Linked DNA regions of Tamandua tetradactyla. The protein of the gene in region 2 purifies or fractionates together with the protein of the main gene of each other region. This does not show direct contact. Links are inferred from orthologs where the notes say so. Each region holds a gene or a part of one and is shown on either strand. Other genes may lie near its edges.

Region 1 (8,449 bases), on a different chromosome or scaffold from region 2:
TCTATCATTTAGGCTTTTTCTTTTTCAGTTTCATTTGCAGACTGACTGACACCCCTTACCAAGCTTTTCAATGTTTTTATTTTCTTGTGTTTACATGAAGTGCATGAGACCTGGGTGCGCATTATAGGCTATTGGTGGGTTGTTTTCAGGTTCCTGAGAACCGGAGAAGCCTAGCGTGGTAGGCGTTGAGAAATATTTATGAATGAATGATTCCATAAGTGAATGAGTAAATGTGTGAACGGACATGATACTTCCAAGCTCGTGGAGGGAGAGCTCTGCAGTTGACTTCCCTCGCTTCTGCCCTACCATGTCGGCGCGCCCCAGTGGCAGCTAGTCCACGCTCGCTGGTGCGCGCTGGAGCCCGGGGGAGGGACCGGCGAAAGGAGGGGGCGTGGTCACGATGACACGCTACGCGAGGGGGCGTGGTCAGGAGGCGCGCCGGGCGGAAGCGGCTGCCTGCCAGTTCCCGCGACGCCTCGCGGTCTCGGCGGCTTCGGATGGCTGCACCCTGAGCCCGAGCTGAGGCCCCACCCAGTGCGGAGGGCGCCGAGGGCTGTGGTGAACGCTGAGCGCCTCCGCCCGCCCAGCGCGCCGGCGCCGGGCCATGTACTCGGGGAACCGAAGCGGCGGCCGAGACTACTGGGAGGTCGGCGGGGGCGCGGGCGCCCAGGGAGCGGGGCCGACGGGGACGCTCAGCCCGGCGCCCCTCTTCAGCCCGGGCACCTACGAGCGCCTGGCGCTCCTGATCGGCTCCATTGGGCTGCTGGGCGCCGGCAACAACCTGCTGGTGCTCATCCTGTACTACAAGTTCCAGCGGCTCCGCACTCCCACCAACCTCTTCCTGGTCAACATCAGCTTCAGCGACCTGCTGGTGTCCCTCTTCGGAGTCACCTTTACGTTCGTATCCTGCCTGAGGAACGGCTGGGTCTGGGACACCGTGGGCTGCGCGTGGGACGGGTTTAGCAGCAGCCTCTTCGGTGAGTTGGGCTGGGAGGAGAAAGCTTTCTCTCCACTGCAAACTTCCCGTTTCCCGCAGTGCCACCACCCCTGCGACAGCTTGCCGCCCAAGCCGCCCCCCGCGCCTTCCCGCTCGCGCTCCCGGCCACCGCCGTGCTCTGTCCCACGCTCCTGTCACGCTGCCACCCCCGGTTGCACGGCGCCCCTTCCTTCCTTGCCTCATCGCTTCCTTCCCTCCCACTGGCCGCGATTCCGATCCCCCAGGTAGACGCTGAACCCCAGCCTGTCTTCACCCGCAGTTGTCCTTTTAACTCCAGTTCCTCCCTAACTCTACTCAGCCCCTGCCCAGGTCATCTCATTTCTCCTTTTTCACCTCCTAATGTAATTCAACAGGTCACGACACAACGGCTTTTACACTTTGAGAAAAGAAACGAGGGGCTGTAGAGACAAGAGAGTCAAGAAAAACAGTGATTAACTTAGCAATGTTGGAGTGGGTGACGGAAAGAAATTTAATGCATACACAGTTTTTTCCCTAAAGTGAGAGATAAGTTACACATTAAAGAGCAATGTGTAAAATTTTTTTTTTTTTTGGTTTTGCTTATTAGCAACTGTAAACCTTTGAATGCTTCTTAGGGAGTGAGCGTTTAATTTAGGTCTTTAGAGTGCAAATTGGCTTGTACCCTATAAGCTACTTTTACTGTATTTTTTTCCTTATAGGTCCTATGAAACCAAAATCTAAGGTGAGATTGCAAATGACTCAGAGAATCTCAACTCAGGTGAACAAGTAATTAGCTGTGCAACCTTTAGATTCATTAAAGCAGAACTTGATTGTTAATTGAAGATTTGGTTCTACAATATTCCCAATCCTTATGGAAGAATTAAGTTTCTCTTGAGAGGAGTCTCAAGCTTGGAAAATAAATTATTTTTTGTGTACTCTAGGAATTTCATTTGTATAAAATTTGAGATAGAGATGTGTACTTCTCAGGTCTTAAATTTCCTTTTGTATGCTGAAATCCATTAGTAATTTATTACTGCTTTTATCTTGCAAGGTTTTGGAGAACATAATCTTTGTAGCATTATCAAAAACATTTTCTTGTTTACCAACCTACTATGCTCTGACAAATTCAATTATGATATTTGTTGTGATTCATTTTTAGGTATTTTTGGGAAACAAAGAAAATATCATAGGGATTATGATTTCATTTATTTGATTGCTTAAATAGTTTTGATACCATTCCCCTGAACTACCACCAAGCTTTAACGTGGGGATTTCATTTGGACATATTTGAAACTTGGAAAGGGAGCTATAAGTGTATGTAGGTGGCACTATAGATGGCTATGCTATTATTTTCTTTATATTAATTTAAAAATACCTATCAGGCAATTTTTAAGGTGAGGCTAAACTTTAAAGAGGGTGATTCAAGTGCAAGCCAATAGTAATAGTACCAAAGATGGGCAACAGGTGTTTGATCATATACATGAAAGTTCTTATTTCCACAAAATACCTTTTCTAGTGCTGGGAAATTCTATTTATATCCCATCTCTATGCTGGGAGTTTAAAAGCAAGGGTATATTGACTTCTTTTTTATTACCATCATCTGTTCTGTTTCCTTACCTCATCCCTCTGCCTGTCCCACCCTCTTCGGTCTCCTTGTCACCTCCTTTTTTTTTCTTTTTCACCTTCCCTGCTTGATTCCATCCCAATCAAAAGTGATTTTCTAATGCTGGAAATGTTTACCACACGGTGTTTTACCTGAAGACTGCTCTGTTTTTCTTGGCATTTAGTTAGTGCTTTCATCCCTGTCTTTATTCCTGTTTTTAAATTAGAGGTAGAAATTCAGGGTAAGAGGTTCTGAGACTTGTTTAAGCCTTGGGAGACAAGTCAGTAATGGGGTTATGATGGAGCTTAAGAAGTTCATAGCAAAAATTAAGAATTTCATTGCGTGGAGTAAAGTCCCAGATTTGTACGTCTAGATTAGGGTTAAAGATGCAGAAAGGGAGGTGCTTCCCTCATTGTTATCCCTGGGCAAGAACTAATCAACCATGGCAGAGGAAATTTTAAAAGCTGGACATTTCTGCTTCATCCAGAGGCATCTGGCCAGTTGGCACAAGAGTAGGTTGCGCTCTTGAATCTGTGACTGACAAATTGTGTGGACTTCCCCAAGTCTGTTAATCTCTACATGTCTATTCTCATCTTTATTATGGAGTAGTTGAGCAAAATGTTCCCTCAGGTTTCACACTATGTTTTTAATGACTCCTTTGCTATCTATAGGTTAGAAGGAACCTGATCTTAGCATTTAGAGCTGTGTCCTCTCTCCTTACTCTGCCCTCAGCCCCTATTTCCTCTAAGCCAAGAATAAGCACATACTATGGTCAGTCTTCTAAAGATAACCTCATGGGTTCTATCTCCCTCTTCACACCTTGCTGGAAGAAGTAAGAATAAATAATTCAGACTTACTTACATAAATGCTTGAGTGGGTCAGGCATTTCTTTCATTCTCTGCTTAATTCCCGATTTCTCAGAAAATACCCCAAATAAATGAAATCCCTACTATTCTTGAGGCAGAAGCTTTGACTAGACAGAACTGTGAGAATTGTCATTTCAGTTAAACTGTCCAGTTCAGTGAACTAATCTATTTAATATAATTCCAGTTGGATGGCTTGTTTTACTTATGTCTAAAATAATTAATCACATTAGCCTAGGCAGGCCCAGCTTGTACTGAGCTAGATTTCAGTTAAGTTAAGCAGAAAGGGAAATCAGAGTTTAAAGAATTCTCACTCTTGCTGTGCAAAGATGACTGATAGTTAGAAGGGCTCCCTAGCAGTGTAGTGTGTGAAGGCAGAATTCACACATAGGTGTGGGAGGTGAAAGGAAAGGGCATATCCAGGTAAGTATACCCTTCAGTACCTCGGCTGTTCACCTCTGGCCACACCTACTTTCAGACTTGCACATGGAATATAACAAGTATTATACCAGAAGTTAACAGGAGAGCCTTTTGTAACTACCACCTTCATGCCTTCAAAACCAAGAACAACAGAAAACAAGTTGGTCTTTCAAGAGAATGTTTAAATAGACCTATTTCTTGGGACACAGAGAGTCAGGGTTGCCGAGACAAAGTCTGACAAGAAGCAGAAATCACTCTCTTTAGTGTTAGAAGCAAGTGTTAAATATGTTAATATATTTTAACATTTGAACCCAGGAATTTTGTAGCTTATTACCTCTATAAAGCACACATGTACTTGTGTACATTGATATAAAGAGTTATAAATAAATATCCCTCCTCAGTAGGTCTATACTTCATATCTCCAGGTTTAAAAAAATGCCAGTGGCTTTGCTGAGTTAATCTTTTGTTAATACACTGACTGGTTAATTCAATAGAAATACTCAAACCCTCATTTTGCTACAAGATCCTAAGGGTGGTTGAGGCCTGAAAAGACCTAATTGGCTGGTGCAGAATCACCTACAGACTGTACTGGTCACGGTCATGATCATGGCAGTAGTCACATAATACATAATCTGTTTCCACAAACACAATGCAGTCAGACATTTCTTTCTTATTTATTTTTTTTTTTTGGAGTCACACATTTCTAAGCTCACAGCTATATATAGTTTTACGTTTTACTCAAATACTAGTTTTATTAAAACCAATGTTATATATTTTATTATGTTAATTCTTTATTTTTGTGGGATAGTATTATGTCCATTCTTGATTATTGAATTGCCTGATTTGGGGAAGTATATCTGTACTGTTCATTTTTTTAAAGAAATAAGAATATATGTAAGTGTGTATTTAATGACTTGGGCTAGCAGAGGTTTTATCCAGGTAACAAGTCAGATTTCAATAGACTATAATTGTTATTACATGAAATTATTTTTCTCTTTTAATGTTTACAATTGTATTCTTTCTTGAATTTTCTTCTTTCAGAGAAGAGTTCCAGTCACAAATGCATATGTGATGCATTTTGACATTTACTGCTAAGATGAAATGCAGAAATGAAAACCACACATCAGTTTTGGTATTCTCAAATGTGATTAGATGTACTTTGTCATGTTTTTATGCTACTGACCTGTAAGAAAAAAATACCCCCCAAAAAAGAGTAGTAGTTAAACAGCTAGGACTGTAACCTCTGCTTCTGGGATAAACTGGAACATCACAAGAAGAGATTTGATCTTGGCATACTCATACCTCAGCTGAGCCCACAGCCTAGATTCATAAACATTTCCTTCATCGGCAGTTGTCAGCAGGTGCTTTAGTTCCCAGAATGGCGGACAATCTCCCTACAGAGTTTGATGTGGTTATAATAGGGACAGGTTTGCCTGAATCCATCCTTGCAGCTGCATGTTCAAGGAGTGGTCAGAGGGTTCTGCATGTTGATTCACGAAGTTATTATGGAGGAAACTGGGCTAGTTTCAGCTTTTCAGGATTGTTATCCTGGTTGAAAGAATATCAGCAAAACAGTGATGATTCAGAAGAAAGAACAGCTGCATGGCAAGACCTGATCCATGAAACCGAAGAAGCCATTACTCTTCGCAAAAAGGATGCAACCATTCAACACATAGAAGTTTTTTGTTATGCCAATCAGGATTTGGATGACAATGTTGAAGAAATTGGTGCCCTGCAGAAAAATCCTTCCTCAGTGGCATCTAGTACTCTCACTGAACCTCTGGATTCTGCATGTGTACCCAAAGAAAGCCACTTATGCAATACTAACTATGAAATGCCTGCCAAAGACACTCCAAAAAGTGATAAAGGGGTTTCACTAGAAGTAAATGATGTAGAGGAAATTCTGGAGAAGGAAAATGATTGTGGAGATAAAACTTTTCACACAGTTTTAGATGGAGGTAAAGATGAAAGCAAACCTATGGTAGAAGACAACACTGATCAACCAAAGAAAAATAGGGTTACTTACTCTCAAATAGTTAAAGAAGGCAGAAGATTTAATATTGATTTGGTATCAAAGCTGCTGTTTTCTCAAGGATTGCTAATTGATCTTTTAATCAAATCAAATGTAAGTCGATATGCAGAATTTAAAAATGTCACTAGGATTCTTGCATTTCGGGAAGGAAAAGTAGAACAGGTGCCTTGTTCCAGAGCAGATGTCTTTAATAGCAAAGAACTCACAATGGTTGAAAAGAGAATGCTAATGAAATTTCTTACATTTTGTATAGACTACGAACAACATCCTGATGAATACCAAGCTTTCACGCAGTGTTCGTTTTCAGAGTACTTAAAAACTAAAAAACTAACTCCCAACCTCCAGCATTTTGTACTGCACTCAATTGCAATGACATCACAGTCATCTTGCACTACGTTAGATGGCCTTAAAGCAACAAAAAACTTCCTGCAGTGTCTGGGACGGTTCGGCAACACACCTTTTTTATTTCCCTTGTATGGCCAAGGAGAAATTCCCCAGTGTTTCTGCAGGATGTGTGCAGTTTTTGGTGGAATCTATTGTCTCCGCCATAAAGTACAATGCCTTGTAGTTGACAAAGATTCTGGAAGATGTAAAGCAGTTATAGATCACTTTGGTCAAAGAATAAATGCTAAATATTTTATTGTGGAGGACAGTTACCTTTCTGAGGAAACATGCTCAAATGTGCAGTATAAGCAGATCTCCAGGGCAGTGCTCATTACAGATCAGTCTATACTAAAGACAGATTCAGATCAGCAGATTTCCATTTTGATAGTGCCTCCAGCAGAACCAGAAAGTTGTGCCATTCGGGTGACTGAATTATGTTCTTCAACCATGACATGCATGAAAGATACCTATCTGGTACATCTGACATGTCCATCTTCTAAAACAGCGAGAGAAGACTTAGAAGAATCAGTGGTGAAGAAATTATTCACTCCATATGATGAAACAGAAATAGATAAGGAAGGACTAACAAAGCCAAGACTCTTGTGGGCTCTTTATTATAACATGAGAGATTCTTCTGAAATAGGCAGAAGCTCATATAATGGCTTACCTTCCAATGTTTATATCTGCTCTGGGCCTGACTGTGGTCTGGGAAATGAGCATGCAGTCAAGCAAGCTGAGACACTTTTCCGGGAGATCTTTCCAGATGAAGAATTCTGCCCCCCACCTCCAAATCCAGAAGACATTATCTTTGATGGTGATGATAAGCAGTCAGAGGCTCCTGGAACCAATAATATAGTAATGGCCAAAGTAGAATCCACTGAAGAAATAAAAAACCTAGAAAACCCAGGGAAGCACCTTTAAAATTAGAAAAAGCAAACTGGAAATTCCATTTTGGACCTTCATCCTGGCATCAGAACATTCTCATTTAAAGGACATATTAGAAGTGGTTATATGATAAATGCTATGTTTGCAGATGTTGCTGTTAAATTTGAGACATTCAGTGTTTGGAAGCCTTTGTTAATCTTTCAGTAACTGATTTATTACTTATTGGACATTTTTTTGGCTGCCAGATAGACTCCCTGATCCAAAACCTTAAACTGCATTTGCTTTATTTTGGAATTAGGTACATATGTGAGGTTTCATTACTAGGAACTCTGCTTAAAGGAAGGTAATTTGTATCTGCTGATCTTTAGATTTTACCATTGTTTACAAAACAGTATCTAAGAAATAGTATAAATACTTTTGTAGCTGTTATAAGTTTCTGTCTCCTCTGCTTTCCGAGGAGATCTGTTTGAATAGTGAAACACAAAGTAAATTATATGGTTTTTTTGTAATATAACATGTAGGCATGATGATGGCATTGCAAGTAATACAAGTGCCAATATGATAAAATATATTTAACTACGATTGTGAGAAAGATTAGCTTGGTTTGATCCTTTATTCTTTGTGGAGGTCTGATGTTTGAAATACGTCTTACAAATACATCAGCCTGACCCATATAAACAACTGGGGCAGTGAATGATAACACCACAGGCTTCTACATTACAAAAAAAGTTGGAGAGTTCAGTTCTTAGTTTAAGAACTAATTCTTGGGAGGTTCATTTCACAGAGAATTTAGTGAATAATTCAAGATTGATCTGGTTGAATACTTTAAGAAAATTTCTGTAGAGCCCTGCTCGAGTAGGAAATTCAGTAGCGATGAACCCAAAAGAAAAGAATTTCTAACAAGTTAACTCAGACCAAGAGAAAAATTGCCCCGGGAAAAGATGTTTCAGAGTAGTTATTCTGAAATTCCTAAGGAGAAACTCTGAGATGATTTTAAAACTATCTGTAAATAGATTTACCTGAGGTATCTTAATGAGGATGAACTAGCCATCATGTTGTCTTTGCTACTTTAATGAGCAACACTACTAACTGTTAGCAGTGAATCAGAGGAGTATTTAACATGCATGCCCCTTTGGTTGTATCCCATCACTCAGATGTAATGAGGTAACGTACCTTTCTAATCAGTTCTGCCTTCTTTTTGTAATCTAGAAGATGGAAACATGTTTCTTTTCCAGAACCACCAGAAGTCACAAAACTGGTTGCACTCCAGTAGTGAAAAAATGTGGAGATATCAGAAGAGGTGAACC
Region 2 (8,315 bases):
TCTCCTTGTCTGTGTTTCCATCTTTACCTGAATAGCTGCTCATCTGTGGCCGAGTCCCGGCACCAGCCCTCCTGATGGCCTGAGGGAAAGTACAAGTGGCAGGAGGGGACCCTCATGAGAGGAAGAGCGGGATGAGGGGCTGCTTAAGTGGTGGAAGCTGCAAGTTGCATCACCTTTTAAAAGCACACATTCCTTCTGGGCATCACCTGCCCTCCAAATGACACGAAACGTATGTTGGGGTAACTGGTCGTTGAGGGAGGCAGTGGGCAGGTCACAGAGCTGGGAGCAATGGGTCAAGGAAATGTCCTGCCTCATCACTTTTCTGGTTGTCCCACCCTAGCCCCACCCCAGCTCCCACTTCTGCTTCCACCAATCCTTGGATACCCAGACATGGCTGGGCCGGTTCCTTCCATCTGGGGTCCTCCACTCCACAGCTAGGGGTGACTCATCAACCATGAGCAGCAAGGTCTCCATCCTGGAGTCCACCTGGTTGGGGACAAAGAGTGACCCAGTTGTCCCAAGAGCGCCAGGCCCACCATCCTGACGCTCCCCCGCACAAGCAGCAGGACTCACCAGGAGGGGCCGCGAGAAGGAGACGATCAAACAGGCCTCGTCCCGGCTCACGTGCAGGCAGTGTAGGGCATCCTGGGGGTCAGCTGGGGGCAGACACAGCCTCAGGTCTCCTTAAATCCTGTTCCACTCCTTCCAAGCCCCCCCCACACCCAGCCTCTTCCTCCATGACTCACCTCGGCCCAGAAGCCAGCGGTGATAGAACCAGGCACTCTGATCATTCGGGTCCGTAAAGAAGGCATTCTGCACCAGCTCCAGTTCTGCGGGGGCCAAGGGAACATGGGGGCATGGGAGCTGTCAGGACCCAGCAGGATCCCCGGGGCTCCAACGCTCCCACCCTACATGCCCTCTCCTTAGGTACCCCCAGCCCTCAGTTTGGGATTCTATGCTGGCCTGACACAGGGGCTACATTCAAGTTTTATCTTGCCCATCTGATACTTTAGGCTCAGTTTTATGAACCCCAGGCCCAGCACGAAGTGGGCAACAATAAACCCGACTGAGAGGTTCGAGAACAGGGCCAGACGTCAGAGCCGGAAGGGCCCTACAGACTGCTGTGGTACTTTCCAGAACCCCCTAAACCCTGCTTACCTTTCAGCAGCACATCCTCTGGGAGGCGCCCCCGTGACCCCGAGTCTGGATGGGGGTGCAGCTGAGGCAGAAGGCAGGAGCGATAGTGCCAGGAGGAGTAGTTGGAGAAGTTTCGGGTAATGAGGCTGTCAGTGAAGGCTAGCTCCTCCGCAGGGGGCACAGTTGCCTGTGCAGCCACAAATCGCCGGTAGTCCCAGCAATGAACTTGTGGGGGTGGGGGTGGGAGAGGGAAACACACCTCAGAAGTAGGGCAAGAGGAATTCCCTGGCTGGCAACCCCAGATACACCGCTACACACTCCATGGAGGAGGCATTTAAGCTCTTTCATTCCTTTTGCCATCAGCTCAGTGGGCCCATTCTGGATATCCTCCCCACTCTGGGCCTTACTGAGGTCCCAGTACAAGGATGGGGGTGGCAGGTGACAGGGTAGGGACAGAATCTGTAGGCACGTACAGTTCCGCTCATCCACCTCGAGGAAACGGGCACACAGCTCCAGCTCCCGGGCCCAGTTGGGCTCAGGGAGGCGGCCCAACAGCCAGCAGCGATGGTGCCACGTGCCGTAAGACTTGGGGTTCACCCGCAGGCAGCTCTCCAGAAAGCCGAGCTCTGCCTTCACCAGAGTGGCAAACTCCTCAGGGGACCTGCGTTGTGCAGAGAGGGGTGGGAGGTCAGAGCCTTTCCATACAACAAATTCAGCTCACTCCTGAGTGTCTATGCCCACCCTGGTTCCCTATTCCTCCTCCATCCCTGGACCCAGACAGGGCAGGGCAGGGCCAGGGCCAGCGTCAGGGTGGGGAGGACTTGCTGTGGCCCTGAACCAGCACGCACTTCTGCACCTCCAACTGCTGCAGCACCTCCCGGCGGCAGTTCCAGAGGGTGGCAAAGTCAGGGTTGGCTCCCAGAATCTGGCTTGTCAGTTCCAGCACTGACTCATCCAGCTCACCAGCCTGGCGCTGAGAAGGAAGGTAGTAGGTTCAAGGGTCATGTCATTCTCCCACTCCAGGACAAAGTAACATAAATGGAACTATAGTATATACTGTGAGCCCGCACTCTACAGCACGTAATATGCAAAGTGCTTTACGCATATTCTCCCATTTAATCTTCATTAACAGCCTTATGCAGTGAGTACACTTATTAACCCCATTTTACAGAAGAGCAAACTGAGGTTCAAAGAGATTTAGTAACTTGTCCAAAGTCACGTAGCTACTATATGGTGGATCCAGGCATTCTGACTCTGGAGACCAGGTGTTGGGCTTGGGGCTTTGCTAAGCGAGCGTCTGGGGGAGGGGGGGGGAAGGGCAGTATGTCTCAGGGCCCCACCTTCTGGAAGACAGCCTGGGTGGCTGACAGGTACAGCTTCAGCTTCTGCTCCCGCTCTAGCCTTTTGGCTTCGGCCTGCTCTTCCGACGTCTTCACCTTCAGGCGCCCGTGCTAATGGAAGGACATGTTGGAAGGGTGCAGGCTGCCCTTTTAGGGGCAAACCCGCTGAGTCTTCCACTGGGGAGCCCCGGGTTCATACAAGGGGACCGAGGCAAGGCCACAGGCATGTGGAGGTCAGGGGCTGGGCTCAGGATTCTCACCATGGTGCCGGCTCAGGTGTTCAGGACCTTGGAGGTGTCCCGTGGTCGCCGTGAAGCTTCGGGAGAGGGCGTGTCAATCACGGGAGCCCCGCCCCCACTAGCTCCGCCTCCAGCTGGTCCCCGGAAGCTGCACGCGGGCCTGGGTGGAGACCCCCCAGCCCGTAAAGGGGTCCTGGGACAGGCATAGCTCATCCAGGAGGAGGCGCCCACCCGAGCCGAATTTCCAGCCGGGCGGCTCCGCCTTCGGTATGATTCGCCGGGATCGGAGCCCGAGCCGCGGCACTTAGGCGATGGGGACCACTCCGCTCCCGGGAGGCTGCAGCACCCACCCACCCCGCAGCTCCCAGACGCCCCCTGCCCCCGCGGGCGAACCCACCTGCGCTAAGAGGAAGCGTGCGGAACGCCGAGCTGCGGCGCCCGCCACCGAGCCCGGGCGCGAGCTAGAGCGGCGTCACGCTACGGTCCTCTGAGGCTAGCGCCCTCTCCAGCTCTCAGAGGCCGGTGGGGGAGTCTGCGGGCTCGAAGGGCGCATGCGCATGCGCACAAATGCCGAGTCCTTGGCCCTTCTAGGGAGTAAGAGTGCGCATGCGTGGCTGTAGCGCGCTCGTTAAATCCGGGAGCCTCGTAGAAGCCGTCCCAGGGGCAGCAATTTCAGTCCGCTACTCAAACTGCAATCTCCAGCAACCGGGGGGACACAGCCCCCCACCGCTCTATTGACCTTGTTGTGGCCTTAGTGGCCACTTCCTAATTGCCAAATCTAGCGGCTAGAGTTTCCTGTACCTCCTTGATCTCTGCACATTTGACGTTTCTGACTTCCTTCTATTTGACACCCCTATTCTGGCTTTTCCTCTTAAATTTTTGCCTCTCTTGTCATCTCTTCACCTCTTGTCCTAAGTGTTGGTAATCTCCAGAGCTCTTTCCTCAATCCCGTCTCACTTCACACAATGTCCCCGGTGGAATGTTAACAAATCCAAGCCTACAGCAGCTTGGAGCTCCCCGGTATTGTGCTTGGTCCACAGGGCGTTTGGCCCCACACTTTCTCTGGGTAACTTCCTCCACATTCAGGGTTTTAATGACTACCTCTGAGCTAAGGAAACCGAAGTTTATATCTCCAACCCAGATATCTTGTAAGCTTGAAAAATAAAGAATCTATGTGCACATACCCAGTATCTAATTCGTGATCACCTGGGTTTCCCAGAAACAACTGAAATTTCAAAGGTCAAAAAGATGTCATCTTGCCTCCTCCCTCCCACCTAAACTTTGGCCTTTTATATTCCCTGCTGTAGCATTATTCTCTCCCACTTCTCCTTAATATCTCTTATATACCCTCTCCATTCCTTCTGCCACTAAGAAGAGTTCAGACTCCTCATTTCTTCTCCAGATTGTTGGAAGTTTTCTCAGTGGTCCCCCATCTGCACCCTGTCCCCTCTGTTATCAATGTATTCTTCGAAATGCTGCTGGATCAGTTTTTCTTAAATGCAAATTCAGTCGTCACATCATCTAAGCTTCTGTGGCTCCTGACAGCTTTTTCAGGAGAGAGTGTGAATCTCTCAATTTAGCATATCAGGTCTTTTGTCAGTTGGTTCTTGCCCACCCTTTGGCTGACCCTGTTAAAAACCCTTCATCTGGGTCCCATAGAACTACTTGCAGTTTCCCAAAAGTGTGTCAACTTATTCCCTTTTCTTATTCTCCATCCTCCACACTCCTTTGCCAGGATAGCTCCTATTTGTCTTTAAGATTTAAATCAGCAGTCACCTCCAGGAAATTCTCCAAAATACCCCAGTCTGATTTGATTGCTTTACACCCATGCTGTTAAAGAAAGTGTTTTTTTTTTTTTTTCCTGAACCCTCTGTAAGCCTTGGTTTGTGTGCCAGCATCTCCTATTAGATTGAAAATTTCTGAAGGACAGGAACTATAGTTTTTTGGTCTTGCCTCCCCAATATCTAGCCCTAGTTCTTGGTAGTTATCAGTAGTTATTGAATGAATGAACAGACAACACATAATGAGGGCTGGCTTGGCTGTTAGTGTTCAGGAATGGGAAAGATCCATATGGCCTAGACCAGCTAAGGAAGGCTTCTGGGGGGAACTTTCATAAGAGTCATGCCTGTCAGTGTGTGTGTGTGTCTGTGATGTCTTTGTGAGAAGTGTGTACCCACATCACACATATATGCTTGTAACTCACATCTGGGTAAGAAAGTTGGCTTTAAATATTTGTATTTCCTCTACACCTCTCTGAGCTTGTGGAAAAGTGTGTGAAGTGGCCATCATGTACTATGTCTTTTCCTAGGCCCTGTAACAAGTTACAGAGGAAAGCCTTGTGAACTTGCAGTCTCAGCGTGGAAACAGTTGCGCAGTTCATTGGTTGTCAGCTTTGGGTTGGGCCCTGTGCCAAGAGCTTCACAGAAATGCGGTGTGTCCACACACAGGCTCCCACCTGGGAGGAAGTAAGCAGAGGGGTTAAGAACACTGACCCTGGAACCAGACCGCTTGGGTGCAAACCTTGGCTTTGCCGCTTACTAACTGTGTGGTCTGGGGTAAGTAACTCAGCCTCTGGTGTCTCAGTTTCTTTGACGTTAATACAGGAAAAATAATATGACCTACCTGGTAGCGTTGAAGGGAAACAAATAAAATATAATCTATATAAAGCACTTAGAATAGTGCTGATCACTGAGTAAGGGCTCAGAAAAGAGTGATAATAATGATGATGATGATGGTTCCTAATCTTTATGTCACACGTTGAAGGAAACTGAGGCTCAGAAAGACTAAGTAACTTGCTGAGGGCCACCCATGTAGTAGGTGGCTAAATGAGACCCTTGGCTGCCTGATTCTGCCACCTCATCACTTCTTTTTTTTTTTTGGTTACCACCTGCTCGTGCAACCAGCTCTATACACACCCACATGTATGTTTCCACAGGGAAACAGACGCCCAGGTGCAGATCTGCCAGGTACAGTCTTACATCATAGTCACTAAGAGAGGAAGAAAGGGGGGTGGATTAAGGCTGAAGTAGGTATAAAATATTGTTGAATGATTAGTAATCTTGAAATTGGGAAGTTTGAGTCAAGCAGGCTTAAGAGAGGAAGTGAGTCTCATGAAAAATCTGTCTCTGAGAGGGTAGGCCTGGGTTTCAGGAAGAGGGGCTCAGAAGGGTATTTCGGGCATGTAATATGACGTGAAGAGGTGGGAGATAAAGCCAAACAGACTAATTTGGCTGGCAGACAGAAACTGAACCAGGTGTTTTTGGAGATAACAGCAGTGAAACTGATGACAAACCTCTTACATAAAGGCAAAAGAAGCTGTGAGGAGTTATATTTGGCCTCCTGTGTGGGATAAGTGGGAACTATGCAGATTTTAGGGCCAAAATCTGAATGATGGTTGAGGAAGAGATTTTACTGATCTCTAAGTGGAGAAAGTAACAAGTAATCATTGAGTATCAACTAAACCTCAGACATCTTATTTTTTTTCCATATTTTACAATGAGGAAACAATGCATGCAATGGGTTCATAGTGGTTAAGTAGCTTGTCCGAGATCACACTGCCAGAAGGAAACTTAGCCAGAATTCAAACCAAAGCTTGGGTGTCAGTCCACTGCATGGGTGGGAGCGGCCAGTCAGAGGCTCACACTTGATCTTCTTGAGTCCAAGAACCCTTCTGTCCCCTTAGCTGATTGCATGTTCCTCTGCCAAGCCCTTTCTCTGCTCCCCCCTTCCCTCATACACACACATACACACACACACACATTTACTATTCCTCTAGGACCCGATACAGTCACTGACCATGGATGGTTTGGAGGGAGGAAAGGGACATCAGTTCTGGGGTCAGAGTTCTACATCAAAGCTCGGCTAGAAACTGTGGTCTGGAGGCACGGAGAGCAGTAGAAGTCAGGTACTAGAGCTGGGCCAGGTGCGGGGTGCGAAAGTGTGTGCATTCATTCGATCAGTTGATACTTATTTAGCATCAGAGCTGGGCCTGACAATGTGCTGGGTGTTTGGGATATGCTGTTGAACCAGACAGACGTAGTCCCTGCCTTCAGGGGGCTTCCAATCTAGGGCAGCACTGTCCAATAGAACTTTCTATGATGAAGGAGATGTTCTATATCTGCGCTGTCCAATACGGTAGCCACTAGCCACATGCGGCTCTTGGACACTTGAAATGTGGCTAGTGAAACTGAGGAACTGAATTTTTAATTTTATTTAGTTTTAATTAATTTAAATTTAAGTAGCTACATGGAGCTGTGGCTGGTGGTTAGTATTGGTCAGGACAGGTCTTGTGAGTGAATCAGATGTGACAACATGTAAAAAAGAGAAGGATTGGAGCCCACAGGGGAATCTAACTCAGACTCAGTTAAGAGGAATTTGTTCTAACCATAATTACATGGTGTGCTGGTTTGAAGCTATTATGTACCCCAGAAAAGCCATGTCCTTTAATCCTCATTCAGTATTGCTGGATGGGATTTTTTTTTATTGTTTCCATGGAGATGGGACCCACCCAATTGTGGGTGGTAACTTTTGAATGTGTCTCTACCCATTCAAGGAGGTGTTGCTTACTGGAGCCCTTTAAGAGGGAACCATTTTGGAAAAAGCTTCAGAGCCAGCAGAGCCCTCATAGTCAGAGACCTTTGGTGATGCAGCAGGAAAACGCCCCCAGGGAAACCATATGAAATGAGAAGAGAAACCTAGCAGAGTTGCCTTTGCCTTTCCAGAGGACAGAGGTATTCTGGACCCATCGGCCTTTCTTGAATCAAGGTATCTTTCCCTGGATGCCTTAGTTTGGACATTTTCACAGCCTTAGAACTGTAAACATGCAACTTAATAAATTCCCCTTTTTAAAGGGCATTACCCAGAGTAATTTGGGCAGAGAATAAAAAAGTATTTGCAAAGTCCCTTCGGGAGACTGGGGGAAAAGTAGGAAATACTAAACTTCCCTAATTGGAGAATTCCTGATATTCTCATAAGCATTGAGGACAATCAATTTAATAGACTGAGCCCTTAATCTTGGGGCTTGCCCCTATGAAACTTATTCCTGCAAGGTAGAAGCTAAGCCTACTTATAAATTATGCCTTAGACTGACCCCCAAAGAACCTCTTTTGTTGCCCAGATGTGGTCTGTGTTTAAGCCAACTCGTCAGGGCAATTCACTGCCGTCCCTTCTACATGTGACATGCCTCCCAGGGGTGTAAATCTCCCTGGCAATGTGGAACGTGACTCCTGGGGTTGAGCTGGGACCTGGCATCATGGAATTGAGAAAGGCTTCTTGACCAAAAAGGGGAAGAGAAAAATGAGACAAAATAAAATCTCAGTGGCTGAGAGATTTCAGAGTTGAGAGGTTATCCTCGAGTTTATACTTATGCATTATATATATATATCCCTTTTTAGTTTATCATGTGTTAGAGTGGCTAGAGAAAAGCACCTGAAACTGTTGAATTGTATTCCAGTAGCCTTGATTCTTTTTTTTTCGATTTATTTTATTTTATTTTTTTAAATACCAAAAAACATGTAACAAACGCAAACATTCCTATTTTGATCATTCCGTTCTACATATATAATCAGTAATTCCCAATATCATCACATAGTTGCATATT

What was found.
Region 1: the proteins of RABGGTA (region 2) and CHML purify together in Homo sapiens (co-immunoprecipitation; 3 studies listed by BioGRID and IntAct, counting the BioPlex papers as one, with this or other methods). This does not show direct contact. The link is inferred for Tamandua tetradactyla from reciprocal best matches to the Homo sapiens genes RABGGTA and CHML.

Annotation. Positions count from the first base shown.
Region 1 is NC_135333.1:12,777,686-12,786,134, reverse strand, and holds CHML (rab proteins geranylgeranyltransferase component A 2), read left to right. Parts: upstream 1-4,948; 5' UTR 4,949-5,219; coding exon 5,220-7,178; 3' UTR 7,179-7,849; downstream 7,850-8,449. Other genes in the region: OPN3 (opsin-3), read left to right, coding at 605-977. UniProt on the Homo sapiens protein: Substrate-binding subunit (component A) of the Rab geranylgeranyltransferase (GGTase) complex. Binds unprenylated Rab proteins and presents the substrate peptide to the catalytic component B.
Region 2 is NC_135340.1:30,536,048-30,544,362, reverse strand, and holds the start of RABGGTA (geranylgeranyl transferase type-2 subunit alpha), read right to left. Parts: upstream 3,262-8,315; 5' UTR 3,114-3,261; intron 3,082-3,113; exon of another isoform or gene 2,794-3,081; 5' UTR 2,741-2,793; coding exon 2,738-2,740; intron 2,589-2,737; coding exon 2,478-2,588; intron 2,111-2,477; coding exon 1,986-2,110; intron 1,799-1,985; coding exon 1,611-1,798; intron 1,363-1,610; coding exon 1,159-1,362; intron 831-1,158; coding exon 747-830; intron 657-746; coding exon 574-656; intron 487-573; coding exon 385-486; intron 280-384; coding exon 174-279; intron 80-173; coding exon 28-79; intron 1-27. UniProt on the Homo sapiens protein: Catalyzes the transfer of a geranylgeranyl moiety from geranylgeranyl diphosphate to both cysteines of Rab proteins with the C-terminal sequence -XXCC, -XCXC and -CCXX, such as RAB1A, RAB3A, RAB5A and RAB7A.